Linked DNA regions of Saccharomyces cerevisiae S288C. The gene in region 1 interacts genetically with each later gene. Each region holds a gene or a part of one and is shown on either strand. Other genes may lie near its edges. The genes, in order: BNA1, PNC1, POX1 and TNA1.

What was found.
Region 2: mutations in BNA1 (region 1) and PNC1 are lethal when combined (synthetic lethality), as found in Saccharomyces cerevisiae (one study listed by BioGRID).
Region 3: mutations in BNA1 (region 1) and POX1 together harm fitness more than expected from each alone (negative genetic interaction), as found in Saccharomyces cerevisiae (2 studies listed by BioGRID).
Region 4: mutations in BNA1 (region 1) and TNA1 together harm fitness more than expected from each alone (negative genetic interaction), as found in Saccharomyces cerevisiae (2 studies listed by BioGRID).

Annotation. Positions count from the first base shown.
Region 1 is NC_001142.9:470,410-473,891, reverse strand, and holds BNA1 (3-hydroxyanthranilate 3,4-dioxygenase), read left to right. Parts: upstream 1-2,220; coding exon 2,221-2,754; downstream 2,755-3,482. Other genes in the region: YJR026W (gag protein), read right to left, coding at 1-1,132; methylthioribulose 1-phosphate dehydratase MDE1, read left to right, coding at 2,928-3,482.
Region 2 is NC_001139.9:426,514-430,037, reverse strand, and holds PNC1 (nicotinamidase), read left to right. Parts: upstream 1-2,090; coding exon 2,091-2,741; downstream 2,742-3,524. Other genes in the region: VIR1 (Vir1p), read right to left, coding at 1-1,437; OCH1 (initiation-specific alpha-1,6-mannosyltransferase), read left to right, coding at 3,234-3,524. UniProt on the Saccharomyces cerevisiae protein: Catalyzes the deamidation of nicotinamide, an early step in the NAD(+) salvage pathway. Positively regulates SIR2-mediated silencing and longevity by preventing the accumulation of intracellular nicotinamide, an inhibitor of SIR2, during times of stress.
Region 3 is NC_001139.9:106,079-111,169, reverse strand, and holds POX1 (acyl-CoA oxidase), read right to left. Parts: upstream 3,013-5,091; coding exon 766-3,012; downstream 1-765. Other genes in the region: CHC1 (clathrin heavy chain), read left to right, coding at 3,666-5,091.
Region 4 is NC_001139.9:1,010,056-1,014,712, forward strand, and holds TNA1 (Tna1p), read left to right. Parts: upstream 1-2,429; coding exon 2,430-4,034; downstream 4,035-4,657. Other genes in the region: ssDNA endodeoxyribonuclease RAD2, read right to left, coding at 1-711; APL6 (AP-3 complex subunit beta), read right to left, coding at 4,266-4,657. UniProt on the Saccharomyces cerevisiae protein: Involved in the uptake of nicotinic acid.

The DNA.
Region 1 (3,482 bases):
TTGTATTCGTATAGCTGCGAGAATCATTCTTCTCATCACTCAGATTTCTCCTGTAATTAGGTTTGCTGTTTCTCGATCCCTGTTGTTCTTCATAAATAGCATGGATATCTAAGAACAGTTCAGCGACTGTCATATTTAGATGTCGATGACGTGTGTAGCGTAAAAATTTATATTCGCCAGATAGACCTCTCATAATTAATTGGCATGCGACCTTGTTATTGATATGAATGCCATTATTGTTCAGTCTGTCGATAATGTTTGTGACTTTTGTTTCAAATGCATCTGCAGGTGTACTGCCATTATATTGCAAATTTGCCAGGGTCACAATGTCGTTTGCCTCTTGGGTATCAGATTGCATTTTTTCAATACTTTTGGAAAGAATTTTCATGATATCCGTATAATCAACGGATAGGATGTCTTTGACCCAGGTAGGTAGGAATTGAGAGGGAGCAAATATTTGAAAAGTGTTATACAAGAAGGTGAGTTCATCATCAGTGATCTGACGTACGGGTTTTCCGTTTACTGTCGGAATAATACCACCGAGATTCGAGTTTTGTAAAAATTTGATGTATGTTTTAACCCAATTTGGAAAGTCATTAGGTGAGGTTAACATTGGTGGTGGTCTGACATATTTTTTAGTGGATGTCATATCAGAGTCCGCTGAGGATGAATCAGTAAATGTATTACCTGACTCAGGTGATGGAGTGCTCAGAGGCGTTCCAACTGATGATGGATACTGCGGAAACTGTGATTGTGGCCCAGGTGGAAAGTACATAGGCGACATTTGATAAGGTGTATACGGAATCATAGATGGGTGTCCGTAAAATGACCAACCAGATGGATTGGCTTGGTTTTGGGTCATCATGCACTGCTGTGGGTACGGCCCATTCTGTGGAGGTGGTACTGAAGCAGGTTGAGGAGAGGCATGATGGGGGTTCTCTGGAACAGCTGATGAAGCAGGTGTTGTTGTCTGTTGAGAGTTAGCCTTAGTGGAAGCCTTCTCACATTCTTCTGTTTTGGAAGCTGAAACGTCTAACGGATCTTGATTTGTGTGGACTTCCTTAGAAGTAACCGAAGCACAGGCGCTACCATGAGAAATATGTGAATGTTGAGATAATTGTTGGGATTCCATTGTTGATAAAGGCTATAATATTAGGTATACAGAATATACTAGAAGTTCTCCTCGAGGATATAGGAATCCTCAAAATGGAATCTATATTTCTACATACTAATATTACGATTATTCCTCATTCCGTTTTATATGTTTATATTCATTGATCCTATTACATTATCAATCCTTGCGTTTCAGCTTCCTCTAACTTCGATGACAGCTTCTCATAACTTATGTCATCATCTTAACACCGTATATGATAATATATTGATAATATAACTATTAGTTGATAGACGATAGTGGATTTTTATTCCAACAGCAACATGTTAAAACGAAAGCTGATGTTTGGAAGCCGTCTCGAGTAGGCTATACCGACATATTTTCCCAGGAATATAAAGGAATTGTTGTTGCGATAAAGTTTGTGATCTGTTCTGATGCTGAAGGAACCTTGTACCCGAGAGAGTATAACTCCCGTCTCCATGATGTAAAAAGACTTGGGAGAACAGGACTGTCATTCACAGATAAAAAGGAGGCGTATTTACTCGAATTTAAAAACCAGGACGTTGTAGATCATGTTCATAAGTTAATCTTGCCTTTTAACACATCTTGGCAATCTAACTAGATTCGTCCAATTGTATTTTTACTTCAATAATCTTACATAATAATAAAAATTTTTCTATTTGTCCAAAAAAAAAAAAAATAAATAAAATAAAAAAAGCTACCGTAATTCATGCGTACAGTAACTGGCTTCCTTACTATACCAAGTTTATTCTTTGATTGCGCTGCCAAAATAGCCTGTCAAAATTTGCGCGGATGTATTTTCGACGTCAACGGTGCCATTATTTTTCTGTCACTGACACCTGTACTCCTGAACGGGTATCGGCATTTAGAACGCTGCCTCCAAATGTCTGGTGAACGTTCGTGAATATTCAGAGTGTCGTTATTGCAATGGAATGGCTGCCTTTGTGACGGCGTCAGGATAAATTGTGAGTCACTGAAACATATTCGGCAAAGTAAAAAAACGGACGTAAAAGATTCTTTCTTTATTCTTTTCACGACAGTCTACAAGTAACTGAAATAGCATACATTTACCAAAAAAATCGAAAAAAATGTTTAATACTACACCAATTAATATCGACAAATGGTTGAAGGAGAACGAAGGCCTTTTGAAACCACCGGTGAATAATTATTGCTTACATAAAGGGGGATTCACTGTGATGATTGTCGGTGGGCCTAATGAAAGAACCGGTTATCACATCAATCCAACTCCCGAATGGTTCTATCAAAAAAAAGGATCTATGCTTTTAAAGGTTGTGGATGAGACAGACGCTGAACCAAAGTTCATTGATATCATCATCAATGAAGGCGATTCATATTTATTGCCAGGAAATGTTCCTCACAGTCCTGTTCGGTTTGCTGATACTGTGGGTATTGTTGTGGAACAAGATAGGCCTGGGGGAGAAAACGATAAGATAAGGTGGTACTGTTCTCATTGTCGCCAAGTGGTCCACGAGAGTGAACTGCAAATGTTAGACTTAGGTACCCAAGTGAAAGAAGCCATTTTAGATTTTGAAAATGATGTCGAAAAGAGGACATGTTTCCATTGCAAGACGTTAAACTACGCACGCCCTCAATCTAATTAAGTATTAGAAGAGTTGTTAGTTGTACTTTTATAGCTCTCTTGTTACGTAAGATTGCGGCACTAAGATGCGGTGCCAATTTTTTTTTTTTTTCTCTTGATCAAAGCAGCTAGCTGTTCATCAAGATATGTAACGTTTTTAAGCACTGAACTAACAAGGGGAGCCAGTGAACGACTATGTCTTCACAAGATGTTCTGATACATTCAGATGATCCGTGCCATCCAGCAAATCTCATTTGCACGCTATGCAAGCAGTTTTTTCATAATAATTGGTGCACCGGAACTGGAGGTGGGATTTCAATAAAAGATCCTAACACGAATTATTATTATCTCGCCCCATCTGGGGTGCAGAAGGAGAAGATGATACCTGAGGATTTGTTTGTCATGGACGCTCAGACATTAGAGTATTTGCGCTCTCCCAAGCTTTACAAGCCAAGCGCATGTACTCCATTGTTCTTAGCGTGCTACCAAAAGAAAAATGCAGGTGCTATAATACATACACACTCCCAAAATGCTGTGATATGCTCCTTGCTATTTGGCGATGAGTTCAGGATTGCTAACATCGAACAAATCAAAGCAATTCCAAGCGGAAAGGTGGACCCTGTGACCAAGAAACCCATGGCGCTATCGTTTTTTGATACGCTGAAGATTCCCATCATTGAAAACATGGCGCATGAGGACGAGTTGATCGATGACTTGCACAAGACTTTTAAAGATTATCCAGACACATGC
Region 2 (3,524 bases), on another chromosome or scaffold:
ATTCAAACAGCGTAATACATCATTTACAATCATAATTGAATCCGACTCATGGTCTAGGTTCTTGTCAAAAGTGAAAAGCGATTTCGAAATAGGCGGAATTGGTGGCAAAATTGAGTCCTCAAACCAGTATGGAATTTGGTACCTCGTTTGATATGATTGCGTCCAGTCTATTTTTCTGTTATTATTACTAATACTGCTATTATTGCTATTATTATTGTTATTAGTGATGGTAGTAGTAGTAGTACTAGTGGTGTTAGTACTACCATTAATAACGCCATTGTTGTTAATGTTGTTATTATTGATGTTATTAGTAGTGATGCATTTCCTGTTGTATTGATTAATTAATTGCGAAATACTGCCCATGTTGATTAAGAATTTCGATAGAAGGAACTGAATGATATTTAAAGTGGATGCTAAACTTTGAGTAGAGCCCAATTCACCAAAGTTTGAATGTAAACAGTGAGTAGGAACCAGGATTAAATAATTTAATGCAATGTCGAGCAACAAAATTAATCGATTTTCCTGCAAATAATTCAACTCAGGATGGTCAATAACTTCCATTAAAACTTGTAAGTGAAAGGACAAATCAGTCGGATCAATTTTGTCGCTGGAGTTCTCACCACCACCATTGTCTGAAATCCCATTTTCCATTATTGTAGAAATTGCAGATCGATATAGTTTAGGATCAATTAAATTTGGGAAGTGAGAGATCCTTTTAGAGATCTTGTACACAAAATAATGAGATGGCAAAACTTCTAATGAGGACGTTGATGCTAATGAAGTGATGATAAAAAAATCCACCTGGTAATCCTTTGTTATCCAGCTAGAAATTTTCTCATCACCGTTGATTAAGTTCGTTGCCGAAGGATCGTATCTTTGCCATTGTGCTACCCATATCTTGAGTAAAGTGGATCTCAAACCGAGCTTTAGAAACTCAAATAGATTTGGCGTTATTTCTTCAAAATTTTGAACAATGGAAAGAAGCGACAGTACGCCGAAATTCATTGAGTCCCCGTCCGTGGTTGTCGCCGTTTCTTCGTCATTATCTGCCATAAAATCCTTCCATATGTTCAGATTGTGCAGGATCAAAGGATGGAGCTGTTTATGGATGGAAATGTATGCAAATAACACCGCTATAAGGTCCCATATGATATTGCTATTATTAGCAGCAGTAACGGCTGACTGCAAAAGGGGAGAAAAAACGTCTAACTCCCGCAGTTCCGACTCAAAATCTTTTACAGAAGAGCCTGAAATTGGCAGATACTTAAAAGAGTTTATGAGCTTGAAGGCTATTTCAACAGGATCATTAATGTGACTGTCGATCGAAGCTAATTTATGGTAGGCCTTTAAAATAGCTTGCAAAAGAGCGTCTACGGTGTCTTGGGAGACCCGCGAGGCTGCAGTCACCAGTGGTGCATGGCCAGCACACTTCTGCATTCTGGTGGTGAGGGTTCTGTACTGCTTATATTGTTGCTATTGGTTAATTATGCCTTTTGTTTTCCTCTTTCCCTACGATCCTCCTTATATGAAACAGAAAAAACTGCCGCCGAGATCCAAGCAGAAAAAAATATATTAAGTCAAGGATCAAGGTGGCACACAGGGTAATGAAATTTTTATATTATATATATAAATAAATATCCATATGTCATTGTTAACGTCTTCCGTTGCTAAAATCATACGTCGTTATATACGTTATCGCTTTATACGTGTTAGCTCGATATCATTTGGGACGTGCCGAAATCTCGCGGAATGTTTCCGAAAAAAAAGAAAGAAAAAAAAAAAGGGGCAGGCCCCACAAAGGGGCGCCGCGTGGTGTTACGTACTGGAAAAGTGAATTATGAAAAAAAAGTTCTTCAAGGGGCAGGGGTTTCCGTTTGGCCCACTATGTATGTGTCTCCAGATACGATTATGATGTGCTAATAGTTATTAATAAAACTATATATATATATATTACTCATATATATATTTTCATATACAATGTACTCTTAACTGGTACCTGGTTGGATGCAATAGGTGAGGAAACCTTCAAACAAAACTTTCTTTTACGATTATCTATATCTTTGTTAGAAAGAATAAAATACAGTACAAAAATGAAGACTTTAATTGTTGTTGATATGCAAAATGATTTTATTTCACCTTTAGGTTCCTTGACTGTTCCAAAAGGTGAGGAATTAATCAATCCTATCTCGGATTTGATGCAAGATGCTGATAGAGACTGGCACAGGATTGTGGTCACCAGAGATTGGCACCCTTCCAGACATATTTCGTTCGCAAAGAACCATAAAGATAAAGAACCCTATTCAACATACACCTACCACTCTCCAAGGCCAGGCGATGATTCCACGCAAGAGGGTATTTTGTGGCCCGTACACTGTGTGAAAAACACCTGGGGTAGTCAATTGGTTGACCAAATAATGGACCAAGTGGTCACTAAGCATATTAAGATTGTCGACAAGGGTTTCTTGACTGACCGTGAATACTACTCCGCCTTCCACGACATCTGGAACTTCCATAAGACCGACATGAACAAGTACTTAGAAAAGCATCATACAGACGAGGTTTACATTGTCGGTGTAGCTTTGGAGTATTGTGTCAAAGCCACCGCCATTTCCGCTGCAGAACTAGGTTATAAGACCACTGTCCTGCTGGATTACACAAGACCCATCAGCGATGATCCCGAAGTCATCAATAAGGTTAAGGAAGAGTTGAAGGCCCACAACATCAATGTCGTGGATAAATAAGAGCTGAATAATACTTCTTCAACCTGATGAACTAGGGTGGCTTGCAAATGCACAAATCTATATAACAATATCTATATATATGTATGTACACCGAATTCCGACATATGGAGAAGGAATAATAAAATATTAACTAACGTCTTTACGCCTCTCTTTATTCTTTTTTGGGTAAATTGCTTAAACTATTTGGCCGGCCCACCGCGAAAAGATTTGGCTGGGCCTCAACTAAACGCGCCTTTTTGGACTTTTCACGTTGCAGGGACAGCAACGTCAAAACTTCTGCATTAAGGTAGTTTGGTAGCTTGGTAGCCACTTTAGTATTTCTGCCTTCTTCGAATACCGACATTATTTCTCGCCAATCCACATTCTCTCTCCCCATCTGCATCCTTTTATATTTAATAGGGATAGGTTGTTTTAGTTCTTTGATTCCGTTTTCATTTCAAGAGCAATAATAGCAATTTGGAAAAAGAAAGCAAGTAAAAGAAAGAAGAGATCATGTCTAGGAAGTTGTCCCACCTGATCGCTACAAGGAAATCAAAAACAATAGTCGTAACCGTACTTCTTATTTATTCTTTGTTGACATTTCACTTGTCAAACAAAAGGCTGCTTTCTCAGTTTTACCCTAGCAAAGATGATTTCAAGCAAACTCTTCTCCCTACGACTTCTCATTCACAAGATATAAATTTGAAGAAACAAATTACAGTTAACAAGAAAAAAAATCAATTGCATAATTTACGTGATCAATTATCGTTTGCGTTTCCCTACGACTCTCAGGCCCCCATCCCG
Region 3 (5,091 bases), on another chromosome or scaffold:
TTATACTAAATAAGAGAGGTATATAAAACACACGCCGATTGGTCATATTAATCATGACCAATATAATAGTGATTCCGGTAGTTACTATACATTGATGTGACGACTCATATTCCTCATATATGTACCTACCATATCATGTTCAGCTAATAGGTCTTTAACACAGCTTCAGTATTGTCTGAGCTTCTCGTTTAACATTCCTTCTGCAATAGGCGCAATCACACTTAAACGTATACGATGTGTACATTAATATACGATGTAAGCATTAGATTGTTACCATAGCAACTCATGTCACTATTAATTACTCTCGTTCCAACATATTGCCTTATTAAAAATGGAATCCCAACAATTACATCAGAATCCACACAATCATCATGATGTTTTAGAGCTTCATTCCAACAAGTGCCAACACAGCACATTTATTATTTGTTATGTATATAATTCTGAGATATTGAGTAAACACTCAATAATTACCTGCCATCTTAGTATAGTGGTTAGTACACATCGTTGTGGCCGATGAAACCCTGGTTCGATTCTAGGAGATGGCAATTTTTTTACTACTATACATTGGTAAATGTAGTCATGTCATTGATTCGTCATAGTTATGTGAATAGTATTAGATATGTAAATAGATAGAGAGTACCGTTATGCACATAAGATGGCCTCTCACTAGGATTTTGTAACTTTTTGTTAAAACTTGGCGACACTAGTTGAATTGAAACAAAAGTCGCAAAACAGAGGGTTCGAAGGAAAACAGGAAACCTCTACTCACTTGTTTATTTTCGATAAAATTTCCGCATTAGCTGCACCACCTAACTTTTGGTCAAATTCGAAACCTCTACCGAGCATGCTGCTCAACAGCGCATGATAAGAAGGCTTCCCTGCCCCATCTGCCTCCACTGGATTATTGCGGCAAACTTCATTGAAGTAATTGTGATAGATATCGCCATCAAAGTAACCTATAGGAGAATTTAACATCGCGTCAGGTAATTCAAAGGAGTCTGTCAGACCTATACAGTCTTTCCTCACAATTGGCAAAAGAGCCAATAGTTGTGGCTGCACAACTTTAGAGATCTGATCAGGAGTGAAGATCTTGAATTGTTGGAATTCTCCGGAATGCTTGTCAATAAAATACAAGGAAAATAACTTATAAACATTCCACATAGATTCCTTTGTAATTTCATCGGAAATATGTGAATCACGAGAGTTTAACTTGTCGTAATAGGTTTTCAACATGCAGCGCAAGGCATGAAATTTGGATACTAAGACTAAAAGCTTAGAAACGCTATCAATACTTCTTGATTTTTCAACTAAAGTACCAATATGTGCCAGTAATTTGATTAAGGTGATAGACCAAATTTCAGTATAATCACCCAACTCCTTTAAACCACTCTTTATTTCTCCAGAAACCACAGATCCTATGTACTGAGGTTTTAAGTAAGAGAATGAGTCCACATCCAGTGTGTTGTCAAATCTACCCTTTGTGGCTGAATCGATAAATTTTTTCAATATTGATTTTGCTGAAGTTAAAGATAAAACATTATTATCACCCTCCCATGTGCACTGAACCACCCAGTCGTCATAGCCTTTACCAAATCCGTTATACTGTGAATACCCATGTCCTCCGCAAGTCTGTCTCAACTCATCAATCAGTGTAGCAATTAACCAAGTATTGGTGGCTTTCAAGCTGGCGCTATCAATAAATAAATTCTTCAACTTTTTACTCACGGTAACCAGAGCAGCTTTGTATGCAGATGAGGAAGCGTTGTATAACTCGTCCAAAGTGGAATAATAGTTGTCCATTAACTTAAAAGCTACAGGTGACACCAAATATGGAACACACAATTGTGGTAAAACACGATATTGGTGAAGGGGATAGTCGATTAATTGTGTTTCAGACAATCCCTTTCTAGGTGCGAATTGCTGACGACCAACCGCGTAACGTACAGCAATAGTAGCAAATTTGGAGCCAAACCTAAATGAATCCATGACCATGTTAACTCTACCACTTAACAATGCACTATAACCAGAAATTTGATCCAATTGTGGCTCAGTTTTGACGGTGACTGAACCATCTGGAGAACGGACAACTTTGGTAAATCTACTTAGCATAAATTCTCTAGGGATAACTACGTTTCTGAACTGGATCCAGCCATTATCAATACCGTCACGACCCATCTTCGCTCCAATATCCCCTATGGAAACACCAGCTAACAGTTGGAAAGTCGAAGGGTCTCTCAGAGGAACAACGAATGTTTTTACACCGTAGTCTTTACCTTCAACGATCAATCTGGCGTACACGGCAGCGTGCGTGGCAGAATGGGCAGCCCCACCAATCCACCATTTGGTGGCAGTTAGATCAGGTGTATCAATTACAAAAGTATCATTTTGCTTATCGTACACAGCCCTAGTCTGCAGCTGGGCAACATTGGAACCATGTCCTAACTCAGTCATTGCAAAACAGCCATATATACCTTTCATCAAAGTGGCACCTCTCTCCTGCAACCAATACCGGATTTGCTCATCAGTACCATTGCCCTTGATACAATTACCAAATAGCCCCAAGTGTACACCCACGCGCGTACCCAATTGAGGATCAATATTTGCTACAAGTGACAATCTCTTATCGAATATAAAAAGGTCTTTGTTTGTTAAAGGCGAAGCTTTGTCTGGATCATTTGCTTGCAACTCTTTCATCAGGTCAGTGTCGCGAAAGTGTTTGCGCACTGTTTTGATATCGTGCTCCATATAACTAGCAAGCCTAGCTATTTTTTTGGCAGTAATTTCTCTCTCTTGCATTTTTTTAGCATCGTAATAGTCCGTATCAGTTTTCAATATAGGATCATTCACTATTTGGTCTATTAAGGCGTGCGTCAGAGTTCTCCTCTCCGGGGATGACTCTAAAAATGTGTTAACTTGGTCAACTTTGATTTTCGAATCCGCCCTTTCTTTCTGGATAAATTTTTGAGGATTCAGAACCACCGAATCGGGATTAATAGTAGTACGTCTCGTCATATCGCAATACTAATTTATTATATTTTCTTTTTTTCTGTGATACTTATTAGTGTCAAGTGTGTATTCAAAAACGGAGAGCAATATTAGTGATGATGAGCGGAATGAGGAAAACTTTAAGGCCTGTTCAAGTTGTTTAAATAATTTTTACAGGTTAGACCTTTATAAACACTCTTAAAGCCCCAATGTATTAGTGCTTTGACTTAACAACGCCAACGTTCTCTTGTGTACTTGCTTGTAGGTGATTTACCCCAACGGCTATTAGCCGCTAATGACCGAATTCCTTTCGCTTCGGAGTTTAATCAACTAATACCGTAAATATAGGGCTTAAAATGTGTCAGGGTTTGAACGCAAAAAAAGGAGGTTTATAATAAAATATTAGCACATTATAGGTTTTAAAGTTAAAAAATAATAGGGTTAATTTTATTACCCTACCCCCTTTTTTTGGTCGAGATCTCGCATTTTTCGTCGCTAGGAATAAATACAAAGAGAATTAAGAAAAGTAAAAAGTGGAACTGAAGGAATCTACAGAAATAAGGAGATATTTTGATTAGTTGTTCAGAGTAACTTATTGAAACCTCGACAATCCGGATCAGAGTTGAGAGAGAAAGAAGATATTCAACTATAAAAATAAATTATCACGAAAGTTCTAACCAATGAGTGACCTACCCATTGAATTTACCGAATTGGTCGATCTGATGTCCTTAGGAATTTCCCCTCAATTCCTTGACTTCAGATCAACTACTTTCGAGAGTGACCACTTCGTCACTGTTAGAGAAACAAAGGACGGTACAAACTCTGTTGCAATCGTGGATTTGGCCAAAGGCAATGAAGTGACAAGGAAGAATATGGGCGGTGATTCTGCTATCATGCATCCATCTCAGATGGTTATTTCCGTTAGAGCAAATGGTACTATCGTGCAGATATTTAATTTGGAAACTAAGAGCAAGTTAAAGTCTTTTACTTTAGATGAACCTGTTATTTTTTGGAGGTGGTTGAGTGAAACCACTTTGGGTTTTGTTACCGCAAGATCCATACTGACCTCGAACGTCTTTGATGGTAACGTAAATGCTAAGCCTCAATTGCTTACCTTGAGACACGCTAACTTGAACAATACCCAAATTATCAATTTTGTGGCTAACAAAAACCTTGACTGGTTCGCAGTTGTTGGTATCTTACAAGAAAATGGCCGTATTGCCGGTAGAATTCAATTATTCTCAAAACAACGTAACATCTCCCAAGCTATCGACGGTCATGTTGCTATCTTTACGAATATATTACTAGAGGGTAATGGCTCGACCCCGGTACAAGTTTTCGTTACTGGTAACAGAAATGCCACCACCGGTGCTGGAGAATTAAGAATTATCGAGATTGATCACGATGCTTCATTGCCTTCTCAATATCAAAAGGAAACTACCGATATTTTCTTTCCACCAGATGCAACGAATGATTTCCCAATCGCTGTTCAGGTGTCTGAGAAATACGGCATAATTTACCTATTAACCAAGTATGGCTTCATCCATTTGTACGAATTGGAAACCGGTACCAATTTATTCGTTAATAGAATTACAGCAGAATCTGTTTTTACTGCAGCTCCGTACAATCACGAGAACGGTATTGCATGCATCAATAAAAAAGGTCAAGTTTTAGCAGTAGAGATTTCTACTTCTCAAATCGTTCCATATATCTTGAATAAATTATCTAATGTGGCACTGGCCTTAATCGTTGCTACAAGAGGTGGCTTACCAGGTGCAGATGATTTATTTCAAAAACAGTTTGAATCTTTATTGTTACAAAACGATTATCAAAATGCAGCTAAAGTTGCAGCCTCTTCCACTTCTTTAAGGAACCAAAACACCATCAACAGGTTGAAAAACATTCAAGCACCACCAGGCGCCATTTCTCCTATCCTACTTTACTTTTCAACACTATTGGATAAAGGGAAATTGAATAAAGAGGAAACAATTGAATTGGCTAGACCAGTTCTACAACAAGACAGAAAACAATTGTTCGAAAAATGGTTAAAGGAAGATAAACTAGAATGTTCAGAAGAACTAGGTGACATCGTTAAGCCTTTCGATA
Region 4 (4,657 bases), on another chromosome or scaffold:
TATTTGAAATCTTGAGAAATCCATACTATTTGGGAAGATGGTCTCCAATTGTTCTTTCGAGTATCCCATCCTCAGTCTTGATTTCAACCTCAACGACGATAATATCAAATACTGTGTGGCCTTTGGCAGCTCTTCAAATTCGGCCGATGCTGGATTTATAGTGTCTAAATCAATGTCTTCCAGTCCATCACCGTTTATCGAATTCATCAGTTTTTCAAAAGTTTTATTAGAGTTAACTCTTGCATCTTCCTTATCGTATTTGAATCCCGGTATATCGGGCAAGTCCCACTCGTCCTGAGGTTTGAAGATCTGCACACTACTGCCACTACTCGGTGTAGAGTTTTTTACGTTATCGTTTGAGCCGTTTTGCAATTGTAAAGCCAGCAGCTTCCTAGCGGTGGATTTCGCACTCTCTCGTTTTCCCTGTCTTCTTTCTTTCCTCTGCCGTATTGTTTCCCTTTTCAATACGGGCACACCACCATCAAAGACGAATACCGGCCTAATGCCAAAGTATAATAGCTTACAAATTCTTCTAAAGAACCCAGTAATATGAGAATTCTTCACTGCATTCCCCTCCTGATCACGGACAGCTTTCAAAAACTGATATATCCAAATGGAGGCATCTACTGCCATTCTCTTATCTTCCAAGGATTCCAGCCTGACCGGTCTTGCCGTAGGACCTGCAATATCCCAAAATGAATGCACACCCATGTCTGAAGTTTGGCGTTCTCCCGAAAATGCTTTTCTTCATGGATGACGTGTAGAACCTTCAATGATTTACGTACAGTTTTTCAATCCCTTTAAGGTCTCTATATGTGGCGGCATCTTTTCTTTTTCTTTTCTTTTTTTTTTTTTCACTCTCCCTTTTAATGCCTCCACGGAGGTTCGAATGGGTTATACTAGAAAGAAAAAAAAATAGTGATAATTAACAATGAAAAAAAAAAAACAGCAACAAAATGTGGTATTGGGGTCACACCACTCATTGACTCACATCCTCTGGAAACATCAAAAAGCTACCAAAAAAGAAAAAAAAAAAAATTCAAGTGCGAAGTTTCCGCATATGCAAACCTTACTTATTGTATAATATTGGTAACAGCAGCTACTAAGCTCCCTGACTCTGATTTCTCTCTCTGTCTCTTTTGAGGAGTACCTTCTGCGCTACTGTGTTCCAATGGTATCTGCGCCTTGAAAATCAATCACAAACGCTCTTGCTATGGCCTGCCTTGGACACGATACGTCGCTGCTTATGCCGCCAGGTGTCAGTAAATGCTCTGACGCACCCATTCACCCCGCGCACTAATTTGCAAAATTTGGGGGCAGTTTGGGAATACTCCATAGAAAAAATCGACTTCAAATCAATTCCGCACAACGTCGCCGTGTTGGCTAAAGTGAACGGAAAATGGACGACATGGTAAAAGAACAGATATGTACATATACAGAAGCCGCGATTTCACATGCCGGCCATTATGGCACACAACCAGGTCTTGTACTGTCACTATGTGCGTTCCGGAACGCCTGTACAGTCCATGGTGAACCATTTATTTATTTATTATTATTATTTTGTACATTATTATTTATGCTATATGTTATTATTATTATCACTATTTAATATTATTATTCGGGTCCAGGTGAAATAACAAAGTCTGGCGCCAGTCACTTGTCTGGGTGCCCGTATTCTCTGTTACAGCGGTATCCCTCTGGATTCTGCAATCGTCGCCGGCTTCTACTAATTTTTCCTTTCCTTTTTGTTTTTTTTTTTTTTTAGTTTTTTATTTTCTAGTTTCCTGCTCGTATTCTGTTGGTTTTTCCAGTGTCTCTCTCCTTTTACAAGTCACCCATTCTCTGCGAAGAAGCGGTCGCACCAACAAAATAGAAAATACCACCGGACGCCGGATCGCTTATTACTCGCAATCATAGTTACCAATCACAGCCGGGCATACTCGGGATCTACCGTAGAATCCTATGCGTCACACATGAGGACAGGTTACGAACCGTCGAAGGCTTCGCGGCGTGTGTGATTAGTATTGTTTTGACCTCATCCATACACCCTGAAATATCTGTCGCATCTCCGATTACGTTAAAAATTCTGGATAATATATAAACCATGAGTTTTCCTTTCTTTGAAGTATGTTCCTACTCGAGATCCTTTTGTTATTTTATTGCCATTTTTTTTTTGTTTCATATGTACTTCTTATCTACTATTTATATTTCTCTATATTAACTAACTCTCCAAGCTATAAGCATACGTCCATATTTACTGTCTTAGAAGTCGTATTCACATCACAGTTTTCCCCCTCTTCGCCTTTTTCAAACTATTTTCCCCCGTGAGACAGCGACTGAAAAAAAAACGACTGCGCAGAAGGCTTATATAAAAAAAAAAAGAAATATTTCTTCACTTTCGAGCATTGAACTATTGTCATTACCTCTAGATGAGCAACAAATTTACAATGGAGTCACCTAAGCATTTGGTGGATGATGTGCTTTTCATATCACCCACCAATGATGGATCAGAAGAAAAGCCTACGGAAGTCACGTTCCAGGAAGATGAAGGCCATGACGCTAGCTTGCATAATCGCAGCCATGACAAGAAGTCGGAACTTGCCACCGAACGGGAAATTATGGCTACTACCACGGATGATGACGGCATCCCCTCCCCTTCCCATCCAATGGAAAAGCGTGTCTTGCGCAAAATGGATATATACTTGATTCCTCTTATGGGGATGCTATATTTCCTTTCTAACCTGGATAAATCGAATATTGGTAACGCAGAAGTTGCAGGTCTATCCAAGGATATCCACCTTGTAGGAACGCAATATAACACATGTGTCACAGTTTTTTTCGCGACGTATGTTCTTTTCGACCCCATAGGTACTAACCTTCTGAAAATTATGGGTCCGCCATTAATGATGAGTATCTGTTTGACCTGTTTCGGTGCTATTTCGCTCGGAACTGCTTGGGTTAAGAATTATGCTCAATTGATCGTTGTCAGACTACTACTGGGTGCCTTTGAAGGTATGATTTATCCCGCTATTAACATGTACCTTTCAGTCTGCTATAGAAGAGAACAATATGCTCTGAGGTTCGCTTTTGTCTTCAGTGCAGCCTGTTTGTCTTCATCTTTTGGTGGGCTGATTGCTTATGGTTGTTCCAAAATCAGCGGTTCTCTAAAGGACTGGCAATACATTTACATTGTCGAAGGTTGTATCTCTTTGGGGTTCGTACCATTCTATGCCTTCGGGTTGAGCAAAAATTTGGAGGATTCGTGGTTTTTCAATAAGGAGGAAAAAGAGTACATTTCCGAAAGATACAAGACTATGAACACTTTTGACCCGGACGAAAAATTTGAATGGTTCCAAGTGTGGCAAGCAGTTAAGGATGTCAAGACTTGGGCTAGTGCTGTGGCATTATTCGGTATCGATTTGACTACTTTTGGTCTAACAGTCTTCTTGCCGATCATCATTACCAGTATGGGGTTCACTAATGTCAGAGCTCAATTAATGACCGTGCCCATCTATTTCCTTACAGCAATTGTGTTCTTCATTTGTGCCGTTTGGTCTGATCGTATAAAGTTGAGATCTCCATTCATCCTGGGTGCTTGTCTGACGACTTCGATAGGCATAGCTATCGTCCTTGGTTCTCAAGTTCATGGTGTGAGATATTTTGGCGTTTACATTCTTTGTATGGGTATTTACGTTAATGCTGCCTGTAACTGTTTATGGTTAAGTGGTAACACTGGTAATTACTTCAAGAGAGCCACCGCTTTAGGAATTAATCTATTTTTCGGGTCTGGTTCAGGGTTGGTCTCTGGTCAAATTTTTGTTGCCAAAGACAAGCCAAGATATATCAAAGGGCTGTCGATTAGTCTGGCCTTTCAAGTCTTCTCCATATTTATGACGGTTGTGCAAATTTTCCTATACAAGAGGGAAAACGATAAAAAGAAAGCAATAATAGATCGCTGTAATGAATTGGGAGAGCCTATTCCATACGACGAAAGGTTAAGCGACAAAAACCCTGAGTTTAAGTACATGTATTAGGCTTGACTTTCTTCACCCTCCACTTTTTTTGCCCCTCGTTATGAGTGTGTTTGCAATTTGTAACTTTTCTTTTATATTTGTATGTATTTTTGTACTAAGCAAATTCACATGAAACTTTGTTTACCAACTTCTCTTTTGTTTTCGTCCCAAACACGTATATTACTGGGAAGATATACATGCCTATATCTATATCTATAAATATACATATTTATATAGTATTATCTCCGAGTTCTAAAGCTCCAGATGCGAAGAAGACGTTCCCGAAGAAGACGTTCCCAAAGAAGAGTCACTATACTCATCATCGTCACTGCTCTCTTCCGATTCGTCTTCATCCTCGTCACTGCTTTCTTCCACCACCTTTATAATTTTCCTTGGTTTACTCTTCCTTTCTGGAATGTCGGAAAAAAACTCGTCCAGGCTTTGCAAACGATATTTCTTCCCGTTTTGAGATGTGAAGGTGTTTACGTTACCTTTACCTGAGATGCTATTGCTATCGCCGTCATTGATCCCAGTCAATTTTGCGTTGGAGCTAGATGTGAAAGATCTTGCTGAGTTGTTGGTAATAAAAGACTGCGATGAAAAACTTTTTTTGTATTTGTTATAGTCTTTCAATTCTGCGCCTT